Linked DNA regions of Astyanax mexicanus. The protein of the gene in region 2 purifies or fractionates together with the protein of the main gene of each other region. This does not show direct contact. Links are inferred from orthologs where the notes say so. Each region holds a gene or a part of one and is shown on either strand. Other genes may lie near its edges.

What was found.
Region 1: the proteins of mettl9 (region 2) and slc39a10 purify together in Homo sapiens (co-immunoprecipitation; 3 studies listed by BioGRID and IntAct, with this or other methods). This does not show direct contact. The link is inferred for Astyanax mexicanus from reciprocal best matches to the Homo sapiens genes METTL9 and SLC39A10.

The regions. Positions count from the first base shown.
Region 1 is NC_064418.1:17,814,106-17,821,084, reverse strand, and holds the start of slc39a10 (zinc transporter ZIP10), read left to right. Parts: upstream 1-3,961; 5' UTR 3,962-4,153; intron 4,154-6,979. UniProt on the Homo sapiens protein: Zinc-influx transporter. When associated with SLC39A6, the heterodimer formed by SLC39A10 and SLC39A6 mediates cellular zinc uptake to trigger cells to undergo epithelial-to-mesenchymal transition (EMT).
Region 2 is NC_064422.1:28,297,760-28,305,472, forward strand, and holds the start of mettl9 (methyltransferase-like protein 9), read right to left. Parts: upstream 3,019-7,713; 5' UTR 2,866-3,018; intron 2,703-2,865; coding exon 2,538-2,702; intron 1,069-2,537; coding exon 878-1,068; intron 535-877; coding exon 325-534; intron 1-324. UniProt on the Homo sapiens protein: Protein-histidine N-methyltransferase that specifically catalyzes 1-methylhistidine (pros-methylhistidine) methylation of target proteins.

The DNA of each region.
Region 1 (6,979 bases), on a different chromosome or scaffold from region 2:
TCATTCTTTCCTGTGAGAAAGAAATCTGTTGCTATGGAGAATCCATACTTCCCACGCACTCTTTATCAGGCATATGGCCTTTTTCACACTAGTATGAGATGATAAGAAGCTACTTGTGCTAATTTGTGCTATTATCATTCATCTTTGTAATCTGAAAGTTGAAAGTGTCCTCTGTGATGGAAGGGCAGTCTCGGCTGAATGAAAGTGATCATTATTCATTAGAATCCACAGTCAGTGGTAAAGCAGGCTTGTGTGAGAGTGCATGCAGCATGCAAGAGGTTAAAGGTGCGCAAACTGAATAATTTGCATCATCAGCTGCACAACTGGACCTGCTCTCACTTCCAGGCAATCAGCTCAGCCCTGGATACACTGATTAGACCAGAATTCTGGCCAAGACTTGAGGCCTTGGAGGATATGGAAAGGGTGTGATATTAGGGGTTTTTGAGCGTACTATGGACTAGTGGTCTTACAACCTAATGCTGAAGACAATGGACTCTATTTTAGCGATCTGTAGTTGAGCTATAAACCGTGCACTGTGAAGCTTGATTTAGTGTCTTTGCTATTGTAACTATAGGAAAAGTACACCTAGAGCAGCTTGAAACACACAAAAGTCATGGATCATTTATCTTAAATCATCATGTGTGTGTTTTGGGCTTAAGTATACACCAATCAGTGCACTGCCAGGTGCGCTCTGTCTCTGAGGGCCCTATCGTACAGCCTGTGAAAGGCGCTATCTTACACCCCGTCAACAGTCTATTTTAACGCCTCGTTAACATAGCCTTAGAGTTAAGGAATATAATAATGCAGATAGGTATGGAGGTCTGAAAGCAACATGTGTTCAGGTAAACATCTGGTGCATTCCTATGTTGGCAGAAGAAAACACAGGTGCACTACTGACTGATTAAAACCCTGACAACAATCAGCCGTGCAATCATGTCTGGATAGCAATCAACTATAAAATATAACATACTTAAAAATTTGCACAGCAACTAAAAGTTATTATTAGTTATATTTTTTCTGACCTTTATAAGGATTCATATTTATGTTCAGTACATTCTGCTGTTTGAGAATTTGACAGATGCTCTTTCTCACTCATTCTCTTTCACATCCTGCAGTTTTGGAAAGGAAAAGAAAAAAGCACTTCGATTGATCATAAATTATTTTATTTCACTTAGCTATTATTTAACTGATTTGCTTTTATACTGTTTATATTTAAAAAAACATCAAAGCACATTGCCACCACCCTCTTGCATCTCACGCTGCCCGTCAATTCTTCAAAACCTGAACTTCAAAGAAATGTGAAATACACAGATCTATAAAGCTATATTATAGCTGTTTTGCATCATTATGATACCAAAGAAACAGGACACACCTCTAAATCCATCTGCACAAAGCGCAACTGATAACTGCGCTATAGATAACTAAAATAGGCCCCTTACACTTTTTTAATAAAATGTCACTTGTGAAATGTTACTTTTAACTAACTATCTAACTGGCAGTGTTATGTGATAAATGTTCTAATAACATTGTAATGCAAATCATTATCAAGTCATAATACAGGCTAACCATCCTGGAAAATTTTCAAATCATTGCTAAATGTTCTTAGCATGGAACCTAAAAGGTAACTAATTTTACCAAAATGTCTATTTTTGGAATGGCTTAGTTTTTCATTACATAACATATTGGCTGCATGAATATGCAGAAATGACAGTTGTATTAGTTTTTTTTTTTTTTTTACCTTTTTGTGCATTGTTTTTTTTTTTTTATTTAACCTCCACTGATCATGAAACCATGTGTTGTCAATCATGCATGTTTTATCTCCTAAAATATTTTATTGGCTCCAGAATTAGGTTAGTCACACAATGTCTCTAGTTAAAAGTTTAATGTGTAATCATGGGCTAAATTAGTACTGAAACAAGACGAGTGAATCTGTTTTGCACAGATCTTATCTTAAAAATACATGCATTTTAAATTAATTTTCAAAACACGCTCAGTATTAGCTGACCAGTGCAGACCAGTTAATTAGCTGTTTAATTACTGTTAAAAGAGCTCAGTCTTCATGTATGTGACATGTACACCAGTCATGGCCTGACCTTGGCATATCCTGTGGTAAAGTGGTGTGTTTGTACAGTTTCATTCTCTGGTCGAGGTCAGCGATATCTTAACGTCTCAAACACCTGACTGCTCAACAGCTGCGACTGTCTCACAGACTGAAACGAGCACCAGTAATACTCTGTCGTTTCTGATGAAATTCCAGTCCAGTTTCTGGCAATGCCCCATGTTTATGCTGAGCATTTACCACACATTAGTGCTTGTGCTAAATGGCAAAACAGCCACAGGCTAGATCATGCTTAACTGTGACAGAAGCACAAAACTCATCATTTAAAAGTACTTTAAATCTCCCTCATCTGCTGACCACAGACAGCAGGTACAGATTCCTCCCTCAGACAAAGTCTGCTGGCTAATTATGCTGTCCACTTGTCTGACAATCTCAACCAGCAGACTGAAATGCTAAAATAAAAAAATAAAAAATACACTCAGCACCCCATCTTGACAGAAAAAAACAGAAATGCAGAAATATTTGCAAATTTATTAAAAAAGAAAACTGAAATGTCACATGGTCATAAGTATTCAGACTCTTTGCTGTGACACTCATATTTAACTCACATGCTGTCCATTTCTTCAGATTCTCCTTGAGATTACTTCATTGGAGTCCAGCTGTGTTTAATTAATTAAACTTAGGAAAAGCACACACCTGTCTATATAAGACCTCACAGTGCGTCTGTGCAAATGAGAATCAGAGCTCAGAGACAGAATTGTGGCACAAGCCTGGCCAAGCTTACAAAATAATTTCTGCAGCATTCAAAGTTCATAGGAGCACAGTGGCCTCAATAATCCATAAATGGAAGAAGTTTGGGATGACCAAAACTTGTCCTATGTATTTTTATTTATTTTTAGTTTAATTTATTCATTGTTTCTTTTATTTTTTTATGATGTTTCCAAAATAATACAAATAATACAATCACCGCAATGAGCACACAAGCACATATTTCAAATAAATAAACAATTTATTTATTTATTAAGATTTTGCAACAACGTAGAAATAATACAACTTTACAAAATCCATGCATCTACATGACAGTAGAACAAATAGCATCACATATTAGGAACAAATAAACAATTATAGAAAATAAATAACACAAAATGCTTACATCTTTTTGCAAATTAGAAATGTTGTATTTTATAGGTTATTAACCATTTTTATTAACCAAAGACTTTTATAGATGTTTGTATATTTAATCATTTTTAATAAAAATGTATTTTACTGAAGAAAATAAATAAATAAATAAAACCACTGTTTAAACAGCTTATTGTATTATTATTTGAGAGAGTAAAAGTTTTTCTTTCCAAATAATTATATTCAGGCTATAAATAAGAAAATGTTTTAGCAAAAAATGACATCTTGCTAAAACTATAAGCAGATTAACAATGTAGTACTCATTCGTTGATCGATGATGATTATAGACAAACAATACATTAACTAAATGCAAGGAGAGGTTATAGTCTATATGTATAGTATACAATGAGTGCATTTCTTTTATTTATTATTATAGATAAAATAATAAAAAGGAATCTTTTAAAAACCACTAACAAAAGAAATATAATACAAAAAATAATAACAATTACATTTAAAAGAGAGAATTAAAATAAATATTTTTATATAAAATATAAGAAATTAATAAAAAAGGCCAAACTCACTGTAATTTTTTCATTATTTTGAAAGTCAGCAAGAAACATTTTAATTACACCTCAAAATAATGACTTATTGTGTATAAGTGGTGATGTAGTGTGTGAAGTTGAGTGTAGAGCTCCTGGACGGGTTGGTGGGGTTAGTTCAGGTGTTAGTTCAGGTGGCGGGAACGGGGAGCTCCTCTTCTCTAATCCGGGGAAAAGTTTCTGGGCGCAGCCTGAAAGCGAGAAATCGGGGCTACGCACTTTGCGCCCCATCGCTGCATAAAGCGGAGCGGGGCGTGCCGCTGCTGCGTAAGCGAGTTGGTGAATGCCGCCTCTCGCCTGTGTGGCGGCCGCGTTTTGCGCGCAGTGAGGATTTTGGTACCGAGCGGAGAGGAGATGCACACGGCACTCGAGTGAGGTAACTGTATAAAAACGCCGCGGTTTCATCTCTCGCTCTCACAGCAGCGACCCGGGCAGCTTAACAGCACGCAGCTGGGCCGGCTGCCCGAACCGGGGTCGGTCTGGAGCAGTTAGTTCGGTTTAAGCGGCGGAAAAAAGGCGAAGCTTTTGTTGTTGGGCTGCGGGTTAAGGCGGACATTTCCCCGTCCTGCCCTCGCTGCGGCTCTAACGCAGCGCTATAGCTCGTTCAGCTAAGCTAAGATAAGCTAGGCTAGGCTAGGCTAATGTGAGCTAGTGTGTGCTTGTGTGTGTTAATGTTGAGCTAAACCTGGAGCTTTACTGGCCGGCCTTTAGACCACTGGGTTATATAACTGGGTTAACTGGGTTAGTTAGCTGGTTAATAGTTGTGCTGTTTAATTAAGTTTAAGTGAGCTGAGCTAAGCTAAACTAGCTAACTAACACAAACAGTGAATCTGGTAAATTAGCTGTAGCCAGTTCACTAGCTTAGCTAGGGAACATGTGGTGTGTTAAGATTCGGGTCATGACAAAAAGGATTACAACGCTTATTTAGCTCGCATTCGGCCACTAATGATGATGATAATAATAAACATTAATAAAAAATAAACGTGTTAAAACGTGTAGGTCAACCAAATACGAATATGCAGTTGTTAAAGTTGCTAACTAGCTAATTACCCTTTCCATTATTTACCTCACTGTGCGTCTGCTCCTGAGCTCCACGTGTAAGCACTAGATATGACTGTCATTATTTTCAGATACTAAGTCTTTATTTTGAGTCAGCAAAAACATCTTCAAATAACACCTTAGTATCTCAAATTAATGACTTGGCATCTCAAAATGCTACTCCTGCTCCTGAGCGACTCTATTCCAGGTGACTCATAAGACACTGAGAAAATGCCAAATATTATTTTTAAACACCCTGTTTACAGAACAATTACGCGTTTCTGTGTAACCTTAATGTCTTAAGTGTCACATTTACATTGTAAAACATCATAAAAAGAGAAAAAAAACCTTTTGACTGCTACTGTATTCATACCTTTTGAACTTTTCCGGCATTTTTTCACGTTACACCCACAAATATGTATTTGATTGAGGTTTTATGTGAAAGACCAACACAAAGCTGCATGTGGTTGTAAAATGAACATGCAGAATACATAGTTTAGGAAAGATTTAAGTAAATACAAATCTAAAAAATGTGGCCTGCATTTGTACTCTGATATCTATAAAAATAAAATAATGTGATCCATTACTCTCAGAAGTCACCTAATTAGCTAGTAAGTAGAGTCTATCTCTATGTAATTTATTCTGAGCAGAATTACAGCTGTTTCATGAAGCCCTGTGAGATTTTATAGAGATAATGCATAATTAAACAGCATGATTAAAAACAAGAAACACACCAGACAGGTCAGGGATAAAGTTGTGGAAAAGTGTGAAATTCTAAATTTCAGGAATGTTTCTTGTTAGTATGAAATGCAGAAATGGAAAAACTATGAATGGACAAAAACCCCATTTTCTATTCAGTTTGATAAATAGAAAAATGAAACAAAGTTTTACACCAATGTTTCCATTTTCAAGTCTAGCCTCAAACAGTCTGAAGACTGAAATTACCAATGTTTTACTGACTCATCTTACGCTTTGTAGATTATGTATTTGTATAAGTTGGTGTTATTTAGCACTGAATTAATGGCATAGTTGAAATTTGTTTTGTTAATCGTTCTGTAAAGCTGTCCATCACTGTAGTATGAAGACAGATCCATAAAATTTCTCTTTCTCTTTTACTTTGCAAGAAATCTCCTTTCCTTACCATATGAATTATGTATAATGACGTGTTTACAGTATTCATTGTGAACGTCTAAACACACTGACTTAACTTGGTATGACATCAGCTTAAAGTGACAGTCCTTAAGTTTTTAGTGTGAATGTGTAACTGCACAGAGCATGCTTAAAAAGTACCTATAAAATGTGCATTGTAGTGCACAGGGCAGAAGGATCTGATTTTAAGAAAAATTCTGTTGTGTTCTCTAATTTTGTGTTTGTTTGGTTTAACGATGAGTGAATGAGAGCAGAGGACATACAGTTTTTTATTACAAAATAAAGAAGTACTACTATTTCAATTTAAATATACATCTTTCCTTAAATAAATGAGATGTTTATAAAATCAAATATCAGATAGAACAACTTTGTCACAATTCTGAGTACACTGAGGCAAATCTTTAATAAAAAAATGCTCTGTTAAATGTAATCTGTTAAAATATAATGCATAAATGTCTTAATATTACAACTCTGTTTGCTTTTCTATGTACTTACTTATCAGGGGAAAGTAATTAAGCATGACGCACACACACACACACTCACAGACATGGAAGGAGAGAATCTATAACTAGTGCTGTTGCTAATTGTGTTGTGCAGAGCAGAAGTTCTACCAAGAAGTTTTACAAACTGAGGTAGAACTTCTGCTCTGCACAACACAATTAGATAGATAGATAGATAGATCTATCTATCTATCTATCTATCTATCTATCTATCTATCTATCTATCTATCTATCTATCTATCTATCTATCTATCTATCTATCTATCTATCTATCTATCTATCTATCTATCTATCTATCTATCTATCTATCTATCTATCTAATTGTGTTGTGCAGAGCAGAAGTTCTACCTCAGTTTGTAAGCTGACTATTTTTCTACCTGTAGCTACAGTTTACTATGTTTATGGCGCTCATTGTCCACTTTCCGCAAATTTTTAGTGTTTGTAGCATAGAGGTATGGACAACTTAACTTTACATTTTTGAGAAATCAGTGATCCTGATCTTTCCACACAATTCC
Region 2 (7,713 bases):
TAAATGACAATATATTTATTTGAAATTTGGGAGAAATGTTTTCGATTGTTTATAGAATAAAACAACCATGTTCATTTTACTCAAACACATACCTGTAAATAGCAAAATCAGAGAAACTGAAGTGGTATCTATTTTTTTTCCAGAGCTGATGTCAGTGTTAACACTAAGAACATTTCCCTTTCATAAACTCTAAAACATTTTCAAGATTTTAGAGAACATTAAATTGTTCCTTAATACAAAAAAAAAAAATAATAAAAAAAAAAATATATATATATATATAATGTAATAAATCATATATATATATATATATATAAATGAACACACTTGTAGTTCTTTCTCTGGAGCTGCCATTTCATTGGAGGGGACACCTCAGTGGCATAAACCTCTCTGAAATGAGAGCCCATGACCTCTGTGACGCCACCATCCCCAGCCCCTAGGTCTAGGAGCCTTTCTCCTTTCCAGTCTGAGTCAATTTGGAGGAGATTACGAAACTGATCCAGTGAAAAGACAAACATAGAACCCCGACCTAGAAACCTGTTTACAAAAAAACAAACAAAAAAAAAAAAACAGTAAAACATCAAAAATAGAGGTATTAAAGAAAATGATATATAACTATTAACCATAACAGACTGTGGTTAATAATAACTACAACTAATATTAAGCTGTCACTGAGACTGATAAACATACTAAGGTAAACAAAATTACATTTCTGTCTTAATGTTATATGGTTTTGTCTTTAAAAATTAGAACTAAATAACTTTTTTAAACACCTAAATCTTCATCACATCACATCTGTGATTAAATGTTGGTTGTGCCTGTGTAAATACATTCAGTCAACATCTCTAAACAAAATGAACAAAGTGTTGCTACGAGTTACCCATTAATGGACGTTCTTGAGATGATGGGACTGAAGATGGTGGAGAAGAACGAGTGGTAGAGTTGTGTGAAAAGCCATCCAGATTTCTCTACACTGTTTTCAAGAAAGGTTTGAGTGTCTGTGTCTAAATTACTCTGCACAAACAGTGGTCGAATCTTCTCACCAAGCATATCAGGACAGCAACGGTACCACTGAAATTACACAAGGCCCATCCATCAATCACATGCACATCCCTGATGAAGAAAAGCTGGTCATCTATTGTAACAAAAGTCAATGACGCAGAATATCATCATACTAATATTGCACTCAAATGTCTCCAGGTTTAAAGTAAAACGAATGATACTGGATAGATATTATCAGCCTCTAGTAGAAATATAATGGGAAATGAGAACAGTGTAAAATTTACTTTTGCTAAAAACAGCCAGAAAAGTAGTACCCTGATGTGATGATTAGGGGTGGGTGATATGCACGATATTTCAGGGTATAATATCTTTAACACTATTCAAAAATGTTGCCAATATTATTGCGTACAATACAATATGTCGCACCTCTAATCACAATTATCAAATAGTATGGTGGTTGTGTGAAATTTATTGTACAAGTCAATAATGTAACTATTGTGACAGGCACAGTTACAGCAGAATAATCTTTAATTTAATTTAAAACAAAACCATGGTTTTTATATCACCAAAAATATAGTTATAACAAAAATACCCTATATAACCCTATATAACAAAATATGACCCTAAAATATTTTAGGGTCATATCGCCCACCCCCTAGCTGTCATAGCTAGCTCACTAATTTGTTTAGCTTGGTCAATAGGATCATGGTTTAGACCAGCTAAACCATCAAACCCAAAACTAAAGCTAAAGCATGCTCTGTAGCTCCTGAACAACAGCTAAGCGGGGCAACCAGTCTAGCCAGCTCAAGCTGGTTAGACTGTTTTTTTTCCTAAGCAGAGAAATCCTTCTCATGAATATTCACTGAAATATTGAAATATATATACAAATCTGGAAAAAGTTAAGAGACCACGTTAAAAATCATTAGTTTCTTTGATTTTACCAAATTGAAAACCTCTGTAATATAATCACGAGGAAGATGAATGACCACAAGCCATTATACCAAACTGAACTGCTTGAATTTTTGCACCAGGAGTGGCATAATGTTATCCAAAAGCAGTGTGAAAGACTGGTGGAGGAGAATATGCCAAAATGCACGAAAACCAGGGTTATTTCACCAAATATTGATTTCTGACATCTTTAATACTTGTAAATATGAACATGTTTTCTTTGCATTATTTGAGGTCTGAAAGCTCTGCATCTGTTACTTCAGCTATTTTTCATTTTCTGCACATAAATGCGCTAAATGACAATATTTTTATTTGGAACTTGGGAGAAACGTTGGCCGTAGTTTATAGAATAAAGAAACAATGTTCATTTTACTCATATACCTATAAATTGCTAAATCATAAAAACTGATTCAGAAACTGTAGTGGTTTAATTTTTTTTCCCAGAGCTCAAGAGTTCAGAAATTAATATTTGACATAGAACAGTCCTTACATCCTGGCACTAAACCCTCAGTAAATCTGAGCAAACACATTATATATGTATATTACATAGGTATATTATTGAATTCACGTTAAAAAGAAGGGATATTTACCTCCTGGAAGTCTGGCCCTGTAAACTCAGTGTCGGTCACCATGTTCATAATCGCGGCTCGAGCCAGAGGACTGCGGACGTACTTCCCAGACCACATCCTCCTCCGCGCTGCTAGCAGAACCGCCACATAAAGCACCACCCAGCCTCCAAACAGCAGAGCCCTCATCTGTACAGAGCACACAGCCAGATAAATAAATAACACACACAGGTCCTGAGCGACCTCAGCTCCTCTTCTATTACAACTCCCTGAGGAACATTACTCCAGGTGCTGCAGGTATAAATACACTTAAATACCCCCCCCCCAAAAAAACACACAAACACACACAGACCTGAAGGCGTGGTGGAGATTAGAGGACCCCATCTTCTGTCAGAGAATCGCTAATCCCAAAAACACACCGATAACGCGTTAATAAAGCGCTGCATCAGCGAGGCGCTGCTGTTAAAACAGCTACTGCACTACAGTAATGACGGAGAGCCGGTGGAGGTGAAGCGCTTCCTGGGTTAGATGCAGGGTTGCCAGGTCCAACAAAAGTATCCAGCCCAAAGTCAGTCTAAAATCCTCCCTTCAAAAGCCTAACGTGTCTATCACAAGTTCGGAGCAAATGGCAAATTTCGAGTGTACGACTTAGTATTTTGTTTATGAGGGATTTATTACCAGTATTGCTATTTATCTTAAAGTCATTAATAATATTGTAATATTAGTGTTTTATTATTTATTTTACAGCAGTTTTATATCACAGTCAAGAACATTTAATAGTAACATAATTAGCAAAACAATAACGTTTAATTTCTCTTTTCTGTTCTTGCCCCTCTCGAACTCTCTTCTCTTCTCTTTAATATTTTTTCCATCATTTTCTGGTTCTTATTGATGTAATCAATCTTCCAATTATTAATTATTTTAGTGTCGACTCGTACACGTTTGACATAACAAGACGAACCCCGCTTTTTTGTTTTTTGGCGGACGCTGTCATTTTTAAAAGTAGCCCCAAAACGCACCTTGCCACCCCAGACTTTTCACCGGCTAATGGATTTTCAAACAAGCCCGATTTGGCGCAAAAACGCGAATCTGGCAACTCTTGATATGAATTCCTTCGTCATCAGTGTAATCCAGAGGCGTGTAATCAGCTCCAGTCCCCAGCAGGTGGCGCTCCACCTCCTCTCACTGAGTTTCACATTTAACATAAAATCATTACACTACAAATCTGGGAATTAACAGTAAAATAAAGAAAAAGTTAAACTAACTATATAACTATATACTTGTTAATGCTGTTAACAATAAAATATTCAATTGGGTTAAAGTGAAGAATTTATAAATTAGGAATTACACACTCTTTCAACTTTATTTACTCATTATTGTTTGTTTTACTGTTTTACTTCAATATATTTTAGACATTTAGTCCACTTTTTATAAAATGTCCCCCTTTAAATTTTATTTTATTTGACTTATTTGAGCTAAGTTTTGTGGACACTTAATGTGGATATCATTGTTTTCTTTTCCTTTTTTTGTTTGTTTATTGTTACTTGATGCGTTTTAGACACTAAAAAGGTCATATTTTGAAAGTTTTTCTTTTGAGGATTTTCTTTTTTATTTTTATTTTGCTCTTTTACTTTAAGCAATTAAGACACTCAACTTTTTTTAAGATTTCAGGAGGAATTCTATTTGGCATTTTTATTGTTTTATTGTTTTTTTTATTATTATTATTTGATTTAGTCTCCAAACAATATTTTCCAAAAAAAATGCTCATTTCGAATATTATTTGTTTTTGAAGTTTTATTACTTTTATTTATTTATTTTTGTTACATTTACTTTTTACTTAGTTTTTTGTTTGTGCTTTAGGCACTTAAGTCACCTTTTTTAAATATTCATATTTTGTGTTTTTAATTTTTTTTTTTAAAGGTATTTCTTGGTTTTATTTTTTGTTGTCAGTGGCTATATATACATCTTTATATACCATTACTGATTTCTATATTCTTTGATGGGTTTAAACACAAAAATAAAATTTTAAATGTCCATGTTTTCCTTGTTTGTCTTTTATTTGAGGGATTTTGGACTTTAATTTTGGATTATTTTGATTGCTTTCCGTTTATGAATTGTTTTTTTTTTTAGAAGAACATTTTTGTTTTTTTAGTTAGTCTTCTATTTTGATTTTTTTCTTCCTTTTTTTTCTTTTTTTGTTAGGGTCTTCGTTTACCTCGAGTGATGACTTCACAGGTGTACAGGTGAGTGGGCTGTTCTGATAGATTAGCGCGCGGGAACTCTCAGTGCGTCACTCCGTTATCTGCGGTACAGAGAGCGCGCGCCACGTTGATGGTGTTTCTGCTGAGAGTCATTAATGCACCTGCAGTACAGCCTCCTACTGTTCTAGCAGGACTGACCGCCTGAAGACCCGCAGATCCTCGCTGCAGATCTGCTGAAGCTGTGACTGCAGGCTGGGTGAAGCAACTCATCTACAGGGAGGTGATGTACAGTCTCCAGAGATCTGCATGATAAACCTGTTCCCTGTGTTCCTCGCTGGAGAAGCTCGCAGACATGATTTCTGAGGGGGAATTCGAGATTAAAGAGGAGGAACCGTGGTACGACCACCAGGATCTGGAACATGGTAAGATCATTTTTACTGCACTGGCAGTGATAGTACAGTCAGAGTATGAATATAGGCAGCTGGGTTCTTCGGAGAGAAGACAACATGCTGTTGAACAGCTTATCACAGACACTTTTACAATACTTTAAGTTTAAGTTAAGCTATATGACTGTACACTGTTAAAATATAGGTTTCTTAAATAACTTTTAGGGGCTCGTACCTTTGGAACAGTGGAGAAACCTTTTACTGTGCTTTGAGGAACATTCGAGAACATTTTTCTTTTAAAACATTCAAAAAACCTAAAGCAAAGCACCTTAAGGGTTTTCTCCACAGTTTCTAATTGAACAATCCTTACAGGTGTATAAAATGTTCACGTTTGGTCTGCTTGCTGTGATTTATAGTGATTATAAAATAAAGTAATTGTCATCCTCTTTGTCTTGGGAAAACATTCAGACTATGTAGTCAATCAAAGTCTGTTTCAGTGCGGAAATGTGGCTTTTTGACAGTTCAGTTTGCACCACATCCTGTGACAACTCGGCACTTTCACACCATCAGAAACCTGAAAGACACAAAGGTACCCAGATGCTAGCTGCTAGAATAATCCAGTCACATTCAGTCCTAGTAGCTGGTGGCCATCAAATGACATTTGTGACATCACAATATCAGTTCATTCAGGATGTACTGTTTTAACTGTTAAATTCTAAATCAAATCAAATTTTAATTTAATTTATTACATAGCTCTTTTTGTTTTTACAGCTGAAGTCACACAGAAGTTTTACAGAAGTCTGTTAGCAGGACAAAGAGTCTAACGTAATATAAAACTTAGAACATAAAATCCACAGTGAGCAACAGTTAAAAGGACAAATTCTCTCAAAGCTTGAGGAAGAAGTCTTGTTAGGAAACAAGGCTCATACATAAGTGGAGACCCATTCTCCTCTGGTCAGAATACTTTATTTACTAAATTAATAATTAAAAAAAGCGTTATACATACATTGTACATTGCTCTCATATATTCAGGTGTACTGATACAATGGTAACAGGGACAATAGAAATAATGACCATGATGTATGAGGGTAAGGGTAATGGTGTCAGTTTATGGTCAAGGGGGTGAAAGTCAGCGTTCACAAATTTTTTTTTCAATTTATGTTTTCATTATGCCTGTCATGAGTTAAATAAAAGACACAAGACATGTTAAGATAAATAATGTAATCATTTTTAGGCCCATTGATGTAATAATGGAAGTAATTCTACTATTTTGATATTCAAACATTAGGATAGCAATACATAAAGATATCCTAAATATTTTTTTAATATTTAAATAAAACAAAAACATTTCAGTTAAAACATAGTCAACACATCAGCCGATTAAGGTGAATAGGCTCTGTGTTCACTAAAGAACCTCAGCAATTCCATTATATGAACCCTTAACAACTACAAAGCTGAACTCTGTGACCAAGTGCTCATTGTGACCAACAAAAACATATCCCAGGCCCTGCACTTGTGTCAATCATTTAATTTCTGATAAATATTGCGTTGTAGTATTACTTAGTTGCTTTACATTAGTGGTCAGAAAATCGTTTGACAATATTGGGCTTTCTTTTTTTTTTTGGAGTTGAAAGGGAGGACGTCTGAAATTAACACTGGGTAAAAAAAGGTAAAATCTTGAATAAAATCACTGAGAGGATTTAATTTTATTATTCCAAGGCACAGGCTTGCTATGGAAACTGCTGAATCACCAGTGTCATTGTCAACGGTCAAGTGAGTTTTACATTGTTGTGGGCTAATGTCCAAGAATCATTGGCTCCAATGTTGACACCTTTAAGCTTGTTGGCTTGCAACCACACCACGTGGACATAAAAAACAGCTCGTGGAGGAAAGAGTTTTGGGATCACATTGAGTAGAGATGTTTGGAAGAAAAACATTCAGGAATTTAACCCTAATCACTTTGGCTGTTCCAACTATTAAGCATGGTGGTGGTAGTATCACATTTGTGGTCTACTTTTCTGAAAGTGGAACTGGTATATTGCACAAATAGGATGGAATAATAAAAAAGTAATTTTTCAAAATAACCTCAAACCATTAGCGATGCAGCTAAAATATGGACACAGTGGTTTTCCTTAACTCTACCCAAACAAAGACATGAGGAAAGTTGGGCCTGTGCGTTGAAATCAAAATAAATATTAAACTTCCAGTTCTGTCTGTAATAGCAATAAAATATCCAAGCAGAGATCTGTCAAGTTTTGTTTGCATGGCTGCTAAACATATCTAGTCAAAGTGCAATTTAGTATATATGCATATATAATATTTTTGTGTGCATGTATGATCCTATATATTGTATGTAAGTTTGACAAGTTAAAAAAAAAGCACATCCCGATATTGCCGAGGCACATGTCCATAATAAGTGTATGTAAACTTCCGACCACAACTATATGTCATTATTTTGAAGGTGAAAGGTTGCATTATCAGACCAGTGAACTGATAATCCTGCATATTGTCACGGTCATAAAATTGCCCTTTAAACAGTGTGAGCACATGAAGATCAATGGAACAATGGAGGGTAAAAATCAATATAATGTGCCTTTATATAATGTGTTCATA